Linked DNA regions of Oryctolagus cuniculus. The protein of the gene in region 2 purifies or fractionates together with the protein of the main gene of each other region. This does not show direct contact. Links are inferred from orthologs where the notes say so. Each region holds a gene or a part of one and is shown on either strand. Other genes may lie near its edges.

Region 1 (8,443 bases), on a different chromosome or scaffold from region 2:
AGGAATTTAAAATGTCCTTGAAATTTTCAACAGTCATACTAGAAGCAAGAGGACCATGAAGAAATGTCCTCTGAAGGAAAAATGACCACAACCCAGAATCCTGTAGTCAGCCGGACGATTACCCGGGGGAATGTGAAGAGCCTTCCAGGCCTGCAGTCCTGAGACTCACAGCCCACGTGCCCGTTTCCCAGGAAGTTCCTGGAAGCTGTACCAACACGAGAATAAACAGGGCGTAACGGTGAGGAGGGGGAAGCGAACCTCAGTCCCAGGCAGGAGAAACCCCTGGGTGCCCACAGTGATGCCACCCACCCTGCACCAGGCAGGCCGTCAGTCTGAGCGGGAGTCAGCTGCTCCAAGACGCAACACCCGGGACCAGCAGAATGACCGGATGCCTCGGCAGACATCAGGCGGATGGAAGCTGCTGCTGCCGCCTCTGCGGTGAGTGAGTGGCGTGCAGGTGGAGCACCAGGCAAGTGGAAAGACGGTGTTCACCTCACAGAAAATGAGTGATTGTGAAGGAGGAGAAAGGCGGCTCAGAACGCAGGACGGCTCCCCTAGGAGCTGGCTGAAAAGTTCTAACGACATACACAGCCTGGAATGGCACTTCCTTCATTAGCAGCAGAAGGCAGCGGGAGAGACACATGGCAGGGATCGGAGAGGAAAGACGGCTAAGCTCGTCTCCCCAGAGGGATGTCCACAGAGAATGCCCGAAACACAACAGTCACGTTCCAGAGTTACCCGAGGACGGCACACACCCAGAGAATCAGACTAAGGAATGGAGCAGGCATGGTCAGGGGGACGGAGAAGGATCCCTCCAGGAGGCTGCTGTCTTCACAGCAAACTTGGCAGAACCACAGAAGTTATTAGACTGAACATCTTTAAATTTAACAAACGGGAAGCAAAACAAGAATTTTTTTATCCTTTAAATCTCACTCGAATATCAACGTTTGAAATAAGCACAATTCTTTCTAAAAAACATTTCAGTTGGCCAACATTTTACAATATAATGTCATTAAACTTAGTATTATCTCCGAGTAAGAATCTTCTTACCTGTGACAGTAGCTCCTCCTTTTCCCCAGCAAGTTTTCGTAGCCTTACATCTAAAACAAATGTAAAAGGTTGTGAACTAAATTTGTAATGAAGAATAAATTTGTATGAAAAATAATTCTTCAAATTCATAAACAGCAAGTATTATCTGATCAGTTACATTACAGCTCTGAATATCAAAGAAATAAAGGCTCTAATGCAATTACAGAGGAATACTTAATTTGTTGGGGCACCAAATACATTTGCTCCCCAAAACATTTTCCCACTTTCTTAACGACAAGCCAAAGTACAAAAGAGAGAAGCTTCGTGTTTTAAAAATCTGCATGCTTTCACCAGCACGCAGGCAACTCAAATGCCATGGGTGCCGTCCCAAGCTCAAGCCCTCCCTCACTCAGCGAGGGCAATCAAAGCACTTGAAAGTAGACAGAGGGGACCGGAGCTGTAGCAGGTAGGGCCGCTGCCTGCAGGACCAGCATCCCATTTGAGCACCGGTTCAAGTCCCGGCTGCTCCTCTTCTGATCCAGCTCTGCTATGGCCTGGGAAAGCAGTAGAAGATGGCCCAAGGCCTTGGGTCCCTGCACCCGCGTGGAAGACCCAGAAGAAGCTCCTGGCTCCTGGCTTGGATCAGCGCAGCTCAAGTTGTTGTGGCCCATTGGGAAGTGAACCAGCAGATGGAAGACCTCTCTGTCTCTCCTTCTCTGTCTGTGTAACTCTTTCAGATAAAGAAATCTTAAAATAGATAAATAAATAAAGCAGACAGAGGGTGGGAGTGGGACAAGGCACAGGAAGAAGAGGGAGCTGGACTAAAGAAAACAGAGGAATACAACGCTGCAAATGGCCAAGTCCCACAAAGCCAGCAGAGGGAGGGGGGGGGACCGACTCTCCGATGTGGTCCAAGGGCGAATCTGAGGTTTGGAAGCAGGACGCTGAGGGTTGGCTCCTGGCCTGTCAGACGAAAGGGTTGCTTCTTCACAAGCCTGCATTAAAATAGGCCCCCTGGGCTGAGCAAACACCAGGAGTTCAGTTAAAGCAGCAGCTGACACTTGGCCAACCAAGCCCCACCACCAGTCAGGATCAGGGCCAAAGTGAGTCTGGTTTCTCCGGCATCTTCCACACATGGAGAGGTCCACTCTCTAGCTCCCTCGCGCTCGGCACACTCTCTGCTTCACTGAAGCGCTCTACAGTCAAACTTCAGGATTGAGCACATCACAGAATGTGCCTGCTGACTTTTCAAATGGTTTTCAGCCTCCACTGTTAGTGTCTCATACGCCTCCAGGCAACCTATGCATACATGAACACGAGCTGGGGAAGACTGCTTCTTCATAAACAAAAGTGAGGTGATGACACAGTATCTGTGTCGTTTTTCTTCCTCTGGTGTAGGGTCCTGGGCTGCAACGGTTGGCCCCCTTTGTGGCTGACAGGGGCAGCTATCATTAGACCCCAAAAGGGTTGGATGAGAGGCTAAGAGGCTTAGACTGTCACAGGCTTAGAAACCGTGTTCTGGATGTCCCACTCCTCTGACGTCTGTCTTCCTGTCCTCTGTTTTGTGCATTAAGAAATGTGCAGGCAAAGGGCTACAGAGCTCTGGGGTACGCAGTGGAAGAAGACATTTAAAACACACATGCGAAGGGTTCTGCCAGCCCACTGCTTCCCTGGGACGGGAGTGCTAGACGGTCTCTGCAGGAAGTCTGCAGAAGCGAAAAGGCAGTTCATGTAAACCCACGGTGCTTCTGCCCAGAGGACCCACAGCCACAGTTACCGGGACCCAGGTGCTACTTCCCCAAGGCCAAAGGTGCTAGTGCCCAGATTCTTCCAGTGAAGCGTCGAGGTCAGTCTCAGGCCTTGCGCTGTCTGCGTTTTCCAAGCTGGGATGTTGACAACAAGCTGGAAGCCCGACAGGGCGACATTAACCCAAGTCACCAGAACAGGCAGTGTCTTACCTAGTGGCCCTTCGCCTGCTGACTCCAAGACCTGAGCAGCTTCCTGAGACACAACGGTGATGGCTCCAACCACTGGTTCGTGATTGACATCACCATTGGGAGTGCCATCGGGAATTATAACTAAGCCATGTTTCTGTGGGAAAGAAAAAACCCACCATCACAAACGATGCGCACGCCAAGCAGTAAGCGCTGTGAGGTCACTCTGCAACAACACACGCTTGCCACAGCACAACCTGCTTAGAATCGGCATGTGAAGAAGAGCTCTGCGGAAAAACACGCTCCTACCAGGTCTGAACGGGGGAACAGGCTGCTGGTGGACTGGCACGAGAGACGCCAGGACGAGAGAAGACAGACAGAGGACAGCTGCGGGCTCATGCTAACGTACCTCTCCGGTCTGCACTGTCTCCCGCAGGTCAGCCAGCTCCTCTCGGAGCGCATCGCGCTCATCCCTGAGGCAGGCAGCGTGTTCCTTCTGTTTCTCTAGGGCCTGGTTTCAGGCGGGGTAGCGAGGGAAAGAATGGCACAGAAAAGAGCAAGTGAAAGGTAACTAATTCCAACCAGCAGAGACAAGGGCATCAAAAAGCAAGGAAGCAGTTACAGCTTGGAAACCAGCAGTCAGGGAGAGAAGAAACACAGAAGAGTCTACACATGAAGTGGTCCTCGTGCAGCAATTTGGTAAGAACAGGTTCCCTTCCAGTCATTAAAAAAATTTAAAGCAAAAGGAAGATGAACAAAGTAGCAAGAGTTAAAAGTATTCCCTTACTGACCTCCTCAGCACATTTTCACTTGGTGAACAAAATATGTTATGTTTAAGTAAAATCACTTATTCAAGAATATACCTGATTTAAAAAAAATTAGAGATTCAGGGGAAAATAGTATATACAAGGTATTTTAATTAAATATTGACTGTATGATTATATGCAAATACTACAGCAAAATACTCAAATACCAATTAATTTAAAATAACTCCTCTTCAAAAGGATTCTCAAGAATCTACTTCTGTGAATTTAGTTAAATACAATTAAGATTCACTTGGTTTTCTGATACATTTTCAAATTTTGAAAAACAAAAACAAAATGAATAGAGCCCAGCTGTGGCGGGGACAGATTATGGGTTTTAGTGTCAAGATCTCGGTCCTGGCACATACTTAGTTCAGCCATGCCTCCGTGTCCTCATTTAAAAACCAGAGGGCAACACGAGCACCATCCCACGGCCAGAGGCTGAGAGGTGGACTCAGCACAATCATTGCCAGAGTGCCCCAGACAGCAGGGAAGGCTCAGGAAAAGCAGGCTGACGTTCCCAGCTGTAAAGTTCCCGACACGGGGGCAGAATTTAGGCCTGCGGCTAAGCTGGTTCGGGCACCCACGCCCCACGTCAGAGCTCCTGACTCTACCTTCCTCCTAATGCAGGGCCTGGGACGCAGCGCTGATGCTTCGAGTACCGGAGTTCTCAGCACTCACGTGGGAAAGCTGGAACAAGTCCAGGCTCCCGGGCATCTGGAGAGTGAACCAGCGGACGGCAGCACTGCTGCTCACACACCCTACCACTCAAATCAAAACAAACTAAGCAAAAAACACGAGAATTCCCTGCACGTCCTCATCCCACAACTGCTGGGCTGAGGAGGACAGTGAGGCAGGAACATGCTTTGGTGATCCGTGAGATATCAGTTTCCTTTGATTATGTGATAAAATATCCACACTTCAAACCATGCCAAGCAGTGTGTGCAGGAATCTGACAGCTGAGCTAGTATATTTTTCATATACTTAATCTTTTCTGCCAGCATTTGCAATAAGTCAAGATGAACTACAACAAGTAACTTTTCTCTGTCGATGACTGGGTTTAGAAGTGGGGCAGGGACGGTGCTGTGGCTTAGCATATAGAGCCACCGCCCGTGACACCAGCATCCCATATGAACACTGGTTCTTGTCCTGGCTGCCCCTCGTCTGATTCAGCTCTCGGAGAACGTGCCTAGGGAGAGCAGCAGTCATCCAAGGGGGAGGCGCAGATGAAGCTCCTGGCTACTGGTTTTGGCTTGGCCCAGCCCTAGCTGTCCTGGCCACTGGGAAGTGAACCAGTGGATGGAAGGAGTGTGTGTGTGTATGTGTGTCACTCTTTCTCTCTGACTCGGCCTGTAAAATAAATGCATCTTTAAAAAAAGGACAACTGCTTCATTAACTGACAGCTGAATAGTTGAATATTTTAAAATATCATTACAATCATTCTGCAACCAATTTGAGAATAAACAAAGAAGGAGTGGTAACAAGTACCACGTATGTGGCATAAATTATATCACAGACATAATATATGTCTGTATCATATATATCAGATACAATTTCTCCCTTACACATATCACCTCCTTGACATTTCCTATAATGTACTACTATGTCTTATCCTTATTTTACAAACTGGAAAACTGAGACTGAAAAAGACGAATTTGTTTGTTTTTGTCCAAAGTCACAGTAAGTTTTAGAAATGCCAGAAAATTGATCCAGTTAGTTTTGGTTTCAAAGCTCGTGCAAACAGTTTTTTATATCCAGTCCCACGAAGGCTGCATCATGTTCCTATCAGACCAGCTGATGGTGGAAAAAATAGTCCACAGGGTGAGTCCCCTCTTTCCTTATCCAAACCACAAGGTCAACATCTAATGTCCTTTCCATGATTTATTTTCACACCGTTGGATGTGTCTCAGGTCTGCTTGCAAGCTAATAACTGGAGTTTCTGGCATAGGCATTTACTCTAAGACGTCACTGTAGCTGGCGCCGCGGCTCACTAGGCTAATCCTCCACCTTGCGGCGCCGGCACACCGGGTTCTAGTCCCGGTCGGGGCGCCGGATTCTGTCCCAGTTGCCCCTCTTCCAGGCCAGCTCTCTGCTGTGGCCCGGGAGTACAGTGGAGGATGGCCCAGGTGCTTGGGCCCTGCACCCCATGGGAGACCAGGAGAAGCACCTGGCTCCTGCCATCGGATCAGCATGGTGCGCCGGCCGCAGCATGCCAGCCGCGGCGGCCACTGGAGGGTGAACCAATGATAAAGGAAGACCTTTCTCTCTGTCTCTCTCTCTCTCACTGTCCACTCTGCTTGTCAAAGATAAAAAAAAAAAAAAAAAAAAAAAAAAAAAAAGACGCCACTGTAGCTGTGAGATTCCACTACATTAATAACAAAGAAAACACCTGCAGAACAAGGCAGAGTACTAGACCACCCACTGACACTACGTTCCTCTCCGCTGGGTTAGATATTCCTGGTTATTGACAGCGGCATGCGCTCACGCCATGCACCACCACACCACAGCATGCTCGCCATGAAACAACACCATGACATGCAAAACACCTCTAAAGCAACAAACCAACGTGAAACTAAGAATTCCAGCAAACGCCACGGCATATTTGCTCTTCTTCCACATCTTATACCACTGGGTTTTATTTTTACTCTTGAACTTTTTAATTTCATCTTCCCAAAATCATAGATGGGAAAACAAAATATATCCTATGAATCTGCCCAGTTTACCACAAAGTCTGAAGAGTACTAAAATGCTTTATAATCTGAAAGCCTCTGTATTACCTGACCATATAACTATCATCCTTCTGTTTGTATGCAACAATAGTTCCTACAGTAATTTTTTTAGGGCAAAAAGTATATGTTTGTGGAGATCTAAATAACTTTATCCTTGACCCAACCTCAAACACTACATCAAAGACACCAAAAGGATAGACACAATGGGCTGAGCTTTGGGGCAATAGGTTAACCCTCCACATAACTGCATTGGGGCACAAACATCTTAGTCACAAAGTTTATGCGGGGCCAGCGCTGTGGCATGGCAGGGAAGCTGCTGCCTGCAGGGCCGGCATCCTAGCTGGGCACCGGTTTGAGTCCCGGCTGTTCTGTTTCCAATTCGGCTCTCAGTTATGGCCTGGGAAAGCAGTAGAAGATGGCCTAAGTCCTTGGGCCTCTGTACTCATGTGGGAAAACCCGGAGGAAGCTCCTGGCTCCTGGCTTCAGATTGGTGCAGCTCCAGCCGTTGTGGCCAACTGGGGAGTGAACCAGCGGATGAAGACCTCTCTCCCTCTCTTTTCCTCTGTGTGTTACTCTTTCAAATAAATAAATAAATCTTTAAAAACAAAAAAAGAGCTTAGGGTGCACCTCACAGATAAAAGTCCTTCATGCTCCCCTTTTTATGGGCACCTGCTGCTCAAACTGCCACAGAGCTGCAGGCAAGACCCCTGAGTTCAGTGAAGGAAGAACTAAGCAAAACTGAACTTCAGTCTGGAAACAGACATGTTTCTTCATTTAATCTTCACTAAATTTAGTCTTAAAAATTATACTAAAGACAAATGATGCAGTCGGGGTGGGGAACCTTTTTTCTGCCAAGGGCCACTGGACATTTATAGCATCATTCATGGGCCACACAAAATTACCAACTTAAACACTAGCCGATTAGGGGCTAGCATTGTGGTATAGCATCCCATATGGGTGCTGGTTCGAGTCCCTGCTGCTCCATTTCCCATCCAGCTCTCTGCTGTGGCCTGGGAAAGCAGTAGAAGATGTTCCAAGTCCTTGGGCTGCTATGCCCACATGGGAGATCTGGAAGAAGCTCTTGGCTCCTGGTTCAGATCGGCACAGTTCTGGACATTGCATCCATTTGGGGAGTGAACCAACAGATGGAAGATCTCTCTCTCTCTCTGCCTCTACCTCTTTGTAACTCTGCCTTTCAAACAAAATAAATAAATAAATAAACAAACAAACAAACTAGCCTACTATAGATTTATGGAATTTTGAGTCCTGGCTAAGGCTGCTGTGGCAGGGCCTTATAGGGCCTGCGGGCAGCTGCTCCCCATCCCTGCAGGTAGTCACTGACCATACTAAAAATGTGTCTTTTAAATGTCAAAATGGGGGCTGGCACTGTGGTACAGCAGGTTAAGCTGCTGCCTGCAACACCAGCATCCCCTATGGGCACCACTTCATGCCCCAACTGCTCCACTTCCAATCCAGCTCCCTGCTAATGTGCCTAGGAAAGGAGCAGACGATGGCCCAAGTACTTGGGCCAATCACTCATGTGGATAGCCCCATGAAGCTCCTGGCTCTTGGCCACTGCAGTCATTTGGGAAGTAAATCAGGAAATGAAAGATCTCTCTATCCCTATCACTGTCACTCGGCCTTTCAAATAAATAAAACTTTAAAAAAAACTGTCAAAATGAAAAATGGTTAAAATAACATTCTATGTCACCTTAGCACAATTTTTTGAATTCAATAAAAAGGGAGGTATAACCTATCAATACAAACAACGTGGATGGATCCTGAGAGGGCTTAGGCTGTGATAAAGCTAATTCCAAAAGGTTATGTACTATATGACTGCATTTGTTTAACATCCTTAAAATGTAAAATTATAGAAACAGGGAGCAGACTCATGGCTCCCAGGGCTTGGGCATAGGGGTAATAGACATGGCTATAAAAGAGCAAGGGG
Region 2 (9,051 bases):
CTTGGCCGCCGAGGTCCGCGCCTCCGCGCTCTCCTGGGGAGGGGGAGGGGGCGGGCGTCGGGGTGGTCAGGGCCCCCGGGATGGCCGCCCCCCTGCTGTCCACACCTCAGGGTCCCCTGCTCACCTCTTGCTTCTTGTTCTTCTCCTGGGCCACGTCCGACATGCCCTTCAACACCTGCTTAGCCTGGTCATCCTGGGCCGAGTCCTTGCGTCTCCGGAGCCGCATCTTGCGAGCCAGGGGGTCCTTGGGCCCGCTCCCTGCTGGGGGCGGGGGCGGGGGCGGGGTGAGCACCTGGGGACCGACTGGGCCACGCCCCCTCGGGCATCCAGCCAAGCAGGGGCCCCAGGGCAACATCCCAGCATCCGTTAGGAACCCCCTGCTTCCCAAAGGCCAGGGCGCCCCCACCCCTCCAACCCCCCCAACTCACCGGCTGCGGCCGCGGCCACTGTGGCAGGGGAGGCGCCCGCCAGCCGCAGCTGGTTCTGCAGCGAGAAGTCGATGTTGTAGCACTCGGCGGCTCGGTCGGCCGGCTTGGGCGGCATCACCAGGCTGGGGTTCTCGCGCACGTCCAGGACCTGGGTGCGGGGCACGGGGACAGAGCTGCAGCCTTGCCTGGGGTCCACTCTCCCGGCCGCACCACAACCAGGCCCTGGCTCCCGTCTGCCCACCCCTGGGAGGGAGGGGGGCCTTGCACGGTGGCCTCCACCCGGCGCCCCCACCTGGAGCTCCGTGAGGAAGTGGATGGCCTCCGGGAGGGTCACCAGGCGGTTCTTGTTCAAGACCAGCTTCCGCAGCTTCGGGCACCTGGGAGGACAGAGCTGGCCGGGGCCTTGGGAAGGAGGCACGGATGCGGGGCCGGGCGGGGCGGGGAAGGAGCACCGGGCAGGGCAGGGCAGGGCAGGGGTCCCTGCTCTCTGCCTGAGGGCCATCTCAGCGCCAGGAGCCCAAGTTCGCGGGCACCGTGACCCTGTAGAAGGTGGGAGCAGCCTCGGGCCCCCACCCCCGGTGTAGCCCCGCCCCCCGCGTGGCCCCGCCCCTCCCGGCGCAGCACCTGCAGAGGCTCTCCGGGATCAGCTCCAGGTTGTTGTTGGTGGCCATGAACTCCTCCAGGCTGCTCAGCTTGCCGATGCTGGAGGGCAGCCCATCGAAGTCCAGCTTGTTGGAGTTCAGGTACAGCTTCTTCAGCTTGGTCAGCTTGCAGATGGCCGACTGCGGGGGGCGCAGGGCAGCGGCGGGGGGGGGGGGGAAGGCGAGCGGTCAGGGCCAGGCTGGGGCCCAGCAGCCCAACGTCTCCCTCCCCTCCGGCCCTCCCGCGTGGCCCCAGGCCCAGACGCACGGGCAGGGAGGTGAGCTGGTTGCGGGACAGGTTCAGGGTCTCCAGGTGCACCCACTGGTCGATGCACAGGGACAGCTCCGGGATCTGGTTGCTGCTAAGGTTGAGGCGGCGCAGGCTGGGCAGGGTGTACAGGCACTCGGGCACCCTGGTCAGGTCGTTGCACGACAGGTCCACGTCTGGGCAGGGGAGGGGGCGTGGGAGCATGAGCCAGCCGGGGGCCACAGTAGGTACCGGGTGGCCAGCCCCGGGCTGTGTCGCTGTAGGCTAGGGACAACCTTTCCAAGCTGTTTCTCTCTGGACAAAGCCACTCAGCCTGAGTGGATCACCAAGGGCCCGCACCGGCTGCTGGTGGCCCCAGGGCTGTGACAGACGGACAGCCACAATCCCAACGCAACCGTGCCCTTCTCCCGGGGAGGGGAGGGGGCGTGGGGTCTGAGCACGGGAGGCGGCGCGGGGGGTGGGGGGGTCACCTGCGAGGTTGCTCAGGCCCTCCAGGCTGGTGGGCAGGTTGCTCTGGGTGCGCTGGGTGTTGCGCAGGTGCAGCGTCTGCAGGGCTGTCATGGCCGGGAGCTGCCTGGGGGAGGGGTGGGTGACACACACAGGCGGTCAGGGGCAGGGGCGGGGCGCCCCGTGTACCCCAGGGGCGGGGGCGGGGAGGGGAGCGAGCCGGGCGCCCACCGGAGCTGCGCGTGCAGCAGCGGGTTCCCGTTGAGCACCAGCGTCTGCAGGTGCACCAGGCGGCGCATCTGCGGGGGCAGGCTCTCCAGCCGGTTCTCACTGAGGTCCAGGTACAGCAGGTCGGTGAGGTTGATGAACAGCTGGTTGGGGATGGTGTCGATGCTGTGGGCGGGGCGGGGGACGGCGCTGCCTGAGTCCTCGGGGTGGGGACACTCACGCCCAGCCCCGGCCTCAGGTCCCCGGCCCCAGCCCTCCAGCCCCGTCCCCACCCCACCCCCGCCCCCCGGCACGTGCGCGCGGCTGGCCGGGCACCTGTTGTGGCTGAGGTTGAGCACCAGCATGTTCCTGGCGTTCTCCAGCTCCCGCGGGCACTCGGTCAGCTGGTTGTGGCTCAGGTCCTAGGGAGACGGGCCAAATCCCAGGTCGGGGCGTCCCCGCCCCCACCCTGCTTCTGCCAACCTTGGCGATGAGGTAAGGCACTGAGAGCCAGGGCATGAGGGGGTCTCAGGGCCAAAGCGGCTGGGGCCTCGGGCAGAGGGGCGTTTGGGCTAGGGCTGGGACTCCAGGCGTGACCTCGGGCAAGGCCCGCTCCGGCCTCAGTCTTCCCGTCTGTAAACTGGGCTAACAGTGGGCCCAGGGGCCATCGCGATGGGTGGGGACTGGACCAAGAGGCTGGCAGGGGGCAGCTGGGCGGGCAGCCACTGACCAGGACAGAAAGGTCCTCCAACTTGAAGATGTCGTCAGGGACTCCGGAGTTCTTCAGCTGGTTGGCTCGAGCCACGATGGCCTGCGGGTAGACCACGAGAGTCCCTGCTTCCTGGCTTCCACCCCCCGCCCCGGGAAGAGGCAGAGGCAGAGGCAGAGGTGGGCCCCTTTGGGCCTGCCCTGTCTCTGCTCTACAGCCTCCCGCGGTGAGCTCCTATTCACGCTTCAAAACCCAAATGTGCCCCAGAGCCCAGCACGGAAACCCCAGATGTTTCTGATCAGACACCCCTCCTGTTCATTCAGGAAGATGGGGTGCGGTTTGGAGTGAGGGTGGCTAGGACAGATGGAGGGGGCTGGAGTGAAGAGAGGGCAACGTGGGCTGACCGGAAATGCTTCCCTCCCTAAGGTCGGGGACAGAGCGGGGACCCATGCGACCCCGGGGCCGCCCCTGCCACCTCCGCAGCGCTGTGCGGTTGCCCACGGGGTCCCCACTGGCCCTCCCAGCCACCCCATCTGCAGAAGGGACTTGTCCCAGGCCACACAGCTGGGAGTGGCAGAGCCCGGCTTGGCTCCGGGGGAGCTCCCAGGGCTGAGGCTCCAGCCGGGGCCAGGGCCACCTCCCTGAGGCTCCGAGGGCCCGGCCAGCAGTCTAACATCCAGCAGGGAAGAGCGCCCACTGGCCAAACCCCGCCCCCCCGACTCCAGCTGTTCGGCTGCCCGGCTGTGTGGCCTTGGGCGAGTGACCTGCGCCTGTGGCCATGTCCTCATCTGCGACACCGTCAGGCATGGGGGGACGTGGACGTCCACTCGGCATGCCTGGCACCCGTGGAGCTGTCCCCACCCACAGGGACCACGCCACGTCCACCCACGACAAAGGGCCCCAGAGCCCGGAGCCTGGCAGAGAAGCCGGCCGGGCCCTGCCTGGGGTCCGGCACCCGCCGCACTCACCCGCAGAGAAGGCAGGCTGGACAGCTCCCCGTGAAGCGTGGTGAGGTTGTTGTGGCTCACGGACAGGTGCTCCTGTGCCAGGGCGGGGCAGCGGAGGCTCAGTGGGGCGGGGCGGGGGTATCCACAGTCCCCACCTGCCACCCCTGCTCTGCACAGCCCCAGACGGCCAGCGCCAGCCCAGGACGCCCCCACAGCCTCCTTCCTGCTCAGACCCAGCTTCTTGCACACCTCCCAGGACGGGGCGCTCATCCCCTCCCTGTCTGCCAGATCCTCCCAAGGCCCCGCCCCTCCTCCCCACAGACCCCACCCCTCCTCACCAGCTTCTGCAGGGCGGCTAGCTCCTCGGGCAGGTAGCAGAGGCCTGTGCGGTTCAGCTTCAGCCATCGTAGGCTTGTCATGGACTTGACATTCTCAGGGAAGTAGCCACCCTGGGGTGGGGGTGGGGGTGTGCTGAGGCTGGCCTGGGAGAGGGCTCCCCCTGCCCGTGGGCACATTTGAGGGAGGCCACACAGCCAACTCTCAACAACCACAAGATCCTCCCCACAGGCCCCGCCCCCTCCAGGGGAGCCCTCCCTACTGGCCCAAGCCCCTCCCCTACCCGTGGAGGCTCCAGGGGCCAGAGCGGAGGCCTAAGAGGGTCTCTGCTACTGCCCTTGAGCCCCAGGAGGGGCCAAGCAAAATGGGGATATCCTGGCCCCCCCATTGTGTGGTGAGCTTAGCTCAAATTCCTGGGCCCCATACTCTGGGTCTGCCTGGGCTGTGGGACCCCACCCCCACCCCGTACCCTCAGCACCCTGGCCACTCCTAGCAAGGTCCCCTGCCCTGTGTCCCCCTCTCCCAACCCTGCCCGAGTGGGTGCCACCTCCTTCCTTCCCCGTGTTCCCCTCCCCAACACCCCCCCCCCAGCCCTCGTGGCCGAGTCTGGGGCAGCCGCTGCAGCCAGTGCCCAGGGGCTGTGCCCCTCCCCCCACCGGCCACATTCCCAGCTGGTGACTCAGGCCCGCCCAAGCCCAGGGGAGAAGCGTGGAGACCCCAAGTGGGGATGGCTGAGGTCGGGACGAGGAACGGAGATGGGACAGCACAGATGTGGACAACACAGGCTGGACAGGAGCCCGCCGGCCTCCGCCCCACACCCTGAGACGCCTAAGTGGACAGGCCAGAGGTTGCCCATCACCGGCCGGAAGCCCCGCCCACCTGGCTCTGGCTCTGGGCGCCCCTACCCATATTGAGAACCTCCCCCCAGCCAGAGCGTCCAGACCGCAAGTCTACACTCGCAGGGTAGACTCGAGTCCCTTCTCCGGATGAGAAAAACCCAGGCCCGGGAGAGGGGAAGTGACTTGCCCAAGACCACACAGGATGGAGCGCAGGGCGGTGATGAGCCGCCTCCGGGCCCGCCCTTGGGCAGCCAAGGCAGCGGCGGCCCTGAGTCAGCGGCCGGCTGGGCCGTGAGACCCCCGGGGCGGCGGTGCGCAGGCCCGCAGCGCCCACGCCCTCCCCCGGCCTGGGCCCGCGCCGCTCGGGCTCGGCCTTCCCGCGGGGGGACGCTGGGCGGAGGCCCGGGGTGCCGGCTGCGGGCTGCGGTGGGGAGGCCCGCAGAGCCCCGGCCGCCGCCCGCAGTGTGGCCGGAGGCGGGCGAGGTGGTGCCCGCGCCGAGCCCGGATCGCCGCTCACCTTGAAGTCGTTGCCGCTGAGGTCCACGCCGCGCACGAACGGCAGCACCCCGGTGGCCTCCATGGCGGCGCCGCTCTCGCTGCCGGGCCGGCCGGGCGCTGGGGGCGGCTCGGGAGCCGCGGGCTGGGCCAGCGCCGACTCCGCCCCGTTAACCCGCCCGCGCCCGCCGCCGCCGGCACCTCGGGCCTCGCCGGGGCCCGGGGCCTTGCGCTCTGGGGACCTCGCCGGGGCCCTGGGCCTTGCGCTCTGGGGACCTCGCCGGGGCCCGGGGCCTTGCGCTCTGGGGACCTCGCCGGGGCCCTGGGCCTTGCGCTCTGGGGACCTCGCCGGGGCCCGGGGCCTTGCGCTCTGGGGACCTCGCCGGGGCCCTGGGCCTTGCGCTCTGGGGACCTCGCCGGGGCCCGGGGGCCTTGCGCTCTGGGGGCCTCGCACTCTGCGTCCGCGCACAAGGGGTCCCCGGCGGTCTCCGTGCGGAGCCGGGGCGGCCCCACCTTCCTCACCCTACCAAGGTGGTGGCCGGCAGCGAGTGACCACGCGCGCACGTGCGGCTCGAAGCACGCAGCAGGTGCTTGGTGCGTGGCAGGTGGTTCTCATTAAGGCCCGCATGCAAACCACCCTTCCCAGGGGCGCTGCCTACGTCCCCATTGTACGGCACGGGAAACTGAGGCCCAGGCGGACAGAGGGCAGGCCCAGGGACGCACGGGGCCGGCGGCACACCCCCTACCCCGCGCGCAGACAGGTGCTAAGGCGCTCCCGCAAAGGTGACTTAGGGGTCGGCGTGCAGGCCTTTGGACCAGGTGCTACCACCCGTCTGCCCGGCCAGAGGAAGGAAACTGGGGCCCAGCCAGCTTCCTCCACGCGGGAGGCTCACATCACACACGCACACGCGCACGCATCCCCCGCGCCTCTGTGGGCTCCAAGCAGGCACCACGCAAACGTTGCGGGCCCAATAATGCAGCCCTGCGCCTTTAAATCCGGAGTGCCCCCGGAAAGCCCCGCCTCCGAGGGAGCGCGCAGGGCGGAGAAGGGGCGTGGCAGGCCCCTCATTGGCCGAACCTCGCAGTGTTTTGGAACGCCCCTGAAGAAGCCGAGCGCTCCGATTGGAGCTAGGGCCTGCTCGTCTGCCTACGCCAGCGCCTCGGCCTTCGGGGCCCGGGTCCTTCACGTTCCATCCGCAGGCGGGTTCCGGCGCCGGGTCCCGGCGGGCCCGCTGCGTGGTCCGGTCGGTGTGTGGACGCCGCGACGCAGGTACGGCTGGGAGCCCGGCGGGGCCTCCCCGACAACCCGCATCCCGGGTCCCCCAGCCCTAGGTGTGGCGCACGTCCGGGGGCGGGGCCCGGGAGGATTCCTGTGAGCCCCGAGTTCGAGTCCCGGCCCTGCCGTTCCCGGCTCGGGTGCTTGACTGGGTTTCCCAAGGCCTCCGTTGTCCTCGCCTGTGAACCGGCCCACCGAGGGACTGCCGCGCCGGCCTGGTAAGCCCGGGCCCAGCGCCGGCGGCTTGCGGGTTATTTTTAACTGCTCGGTTCCTGCGCGCCCCCCACCCCTTAGGTGGCACGGAGCCCTCGCTGGGGCAGGTGCGCGTGCGCTGGAGGGGTGGGCATTTCAAGTGCTTTACGCACTTGGCAGCGTGGAGGCCTGGGGGCCGATGGCAGCGCTGGTCCGTGGCCGGGGCCGCGGGGGTCAGCCGGCTGGCCCGTGACCTCCCCCAGGACGCCGGAGCCCCGTCTTATTTTTAGTCTGGCGCTAAGAGGCAGGTGTCCCGGGCTGAGTCACACAGAGCTTCGGGCTCCAGCTGCCCCGGGCAGTGGGGGGGCAGGGCACCCAGGGCGCAGCAGGAGGGCGGGCCGTGACCTCGCCGTCCAACGCTGAGGCTCCCGGGTGCCCTTGGCCACCCGTCCCCTGCACCCTCAGGGCCCGAGGTCAGGGTGGGCGTGGGCCTTCTCTGCCTCCACTCGGGCACTGCTCACCTCCTACCAGCTGGGCTGTGGCTCCAGGCCTGCATCTGGCTTAGCATCCTGCAGCCAACCCCCACCCCCCGACCCCGCCCCGACCTCTTGAGGAGCCGGCCACAGCCAGGAGGCCCTGCCCCCCCATCCCCTACCCTGACCTTGTGCTGAGCCGGCCACAGCCAGGGGGCCCTCTCTTTGGGGTCTTCATCTTTGGAGTTCCCTGCTCAATGCCCTTCTACATGATGGCTCCTGGCAGCCCGGACCCTCTGCCAGGGGCCTCCGTGTGAGCCCCCTTTGCCAGGGGCTGGGTTATTGGCCGGTTTGGGGAGGGGTCGTGGCTGCTCCCCCGGCTCCGTGCAGGAAGCCCTGCTAGCAGCCCCTGACTCACGAGGAATCTTCCAGAAGCTCCTCCTTGTGGACCCCAGAGCCCCTGTGCCTGCCCAGCCAGGTGCCCTCCCCGCCCCACCCCCACCCCGCAGCTACCCCGCGCCCCCGGCTCCCCTGCAGGTGGACCATGGCGGAGTTCTCCCAGAAGCGGGGGAAGCGGCGTGGCGGCGAGGGCCTGGGCGGCGCCGTGGACTTCCTCCTGGCCAACGCCCGCCTGGTGCTGGGTGTGGGCGGCGCGGCTGTGCTGGGCATTGCCACACTGGCCGTGAAGCGGGTAAGGCCGGGCTGGCGGGGGCTGGGGCTTGGTCATGGCTGCCGGCCGCCAGGTGCCCTGCTCAGCGCCGCTCTGCCCGCAGCTCATCGACAGGGCCACCGGCCCCCGGGACGAGGATGACGCCAAGGGGGACGGCTGGACGGAGCTGAGCCTGCTCAAGGCCACGCCGCACCAGCAGCCCCGGCCCCCACCTGCCGCCCTCAGCCTGCCCGAGCCACGCCGGCCCCCTGCCCCCTCCACGCCAGGTGAGCCGGAGCCTGCGCCCGGGTCCCTGCTCAGGCTGTTGGAGCTGTGTGGCCAGGGTGCTGGGATGCGGTCGGGTTCCCGCAGTGCATTGTGGGCTGCTCTGACGTGTCCCCCTTGCCTCTGCAGAGGGGCCCGCGGACGCCGGTCCCCAGCCGCCGCCTCTGCTCAGCCCCCCGGCCCCGCTGTGCCTGACCTTCCAGGAGAAGCTGCTGGCATTCGAGCAGGCCCACGTGGCCATCCCCGAGGCCCAGGTGGCCTTGGCCAAGCAGCTGGCCGGCGACATCGCCCTGGAGCTGCAGGCCTACCTGCGGAACAAGTTTCCCGAGCTGCCCTTTGGGGCCCTCGTGCCCGGCGGGCCGCTCTACGACGGGCTGCAGGCCGGGGCCGCCGACCAGGACCACGTGCGCCTCTCGGTGCCGCTGGCGCTGGAGCCGGGCCTCTGGAGCCTGGTGCCCGGCGTGGACACCGTGGCCAGGGACCCTCGCTGCTGGGCCGTGCGCAGGACTCAGCTGGAGTTCCGCCCCCGCGGCAGCAGCCCCTGGGACCGCTTCCTGGTGGGCGGCTACCTGTCCTCCCGCCTCCTGCTGGGTCTGCTGCGCAAGGCGCTCACCGCCTCCGTCAACTGGCCGGCCATCAGCGGGCTGCTCGGGTGCCTGATCCGGCCCAGCGTGGCCTCGGAGGAGCTGCTGCTGGAGGTGCGGCACGAACGCCTGGAGCTCACCGTGGCTGTGCTCCTGGCCGTCGCCGGGGCCGGCACGGGCGCCGACTGCCAGCTCCTGGCCTGGCCCCTGGAGGGGCTGGCTGGGAACCTCTGGCTGCACGACCTGTACCCCAAGGAGGCTGCCCGACTGCGGGC

Evidence for each region.
Region 1: the proteins of FLII (region 2) and LRRFIP2 purify together in Homo sapiens (affinity purification with mass spectrometry; 3 studies listed by BioGRID and IntAct, with this or other methods). This does not show direct contact. The link is inferred for Oryctolagus cuniculus from reciprocal best matches to the Homo sapiens genes FLII and LRRFIP2.

What each region holds. Positions count from the first base shown.
Region 1 is NC_091435.1:173,416,326-173,424,768, forward strand, and holds part of LRRFIP2 (leucine-rich repeat flightless-interacting protein 2), read right to left. Parts: intron 5,148-8,443; exon of another isoform or gene 4,397-5,147; intron 3,663-4,396; exon of another isoform or gene 3,475-3,662; coding exon 3,373-3,474; exon of another isoform or gene 3,121-3,372; coding exon 2,988-3,120; intron 1,250-2,987; exon of another isoform or gene 1,101-1,249; coding exon 1,051-1,100; exon of another isoform or gene 34-1,050; intron 1-33. UniProt on the Homo sapiens protein: May function as activator of the canonical Wnt signaling pathway, in association with DVL3, upstream of CTNNB1/beta-catenin.
Region 2 is NC_091448.1:62,264,425-62,273,475, reverse strand, and holds the start of FLII (protein flightless-1 homolog), read right to left. Parts: upstream 5,498-9,051; 5' UTR 5,403-5,497; coding exon 5,340-5,402; intron 4,097-5,339; coding exon 3,986-4,096; intron 3,741-3,985; coding exon 3,669-3,740; intron 2,803-3,668; coding exon 2,722-2,802; intron 2,414-2,721; coding exon 2,328-2,413; intron 2,178-2,327; coding exon 2,016-2,177; intron 1,912-2,015; coding exon 1,808-1,911; intron 1,514-1,807; coding exon 1,338-1,513; intron 1,211-1,337; coding exon 1,053-1,210; intron 806-1,052; coding exon 721-805; intron 577-720; coding exon 429-576; intron 262-428; coding exon 125-261; intron 34-124; coding exon 1-33. Other genes in the region: MIEF2 (mitochondrial dynamics protein MID49), read left to right, coding at 7,803-7,949, 8,032-8,194, 8,322-9,051. UniProt on the Homo sapiens protein: Is a regulator of actin polymerization, required for proper myofibril organization and regulation of the length of sarcomeric thin filaments. It also plays a role in the assembly of cardiomyocyte cell adhesion complexes.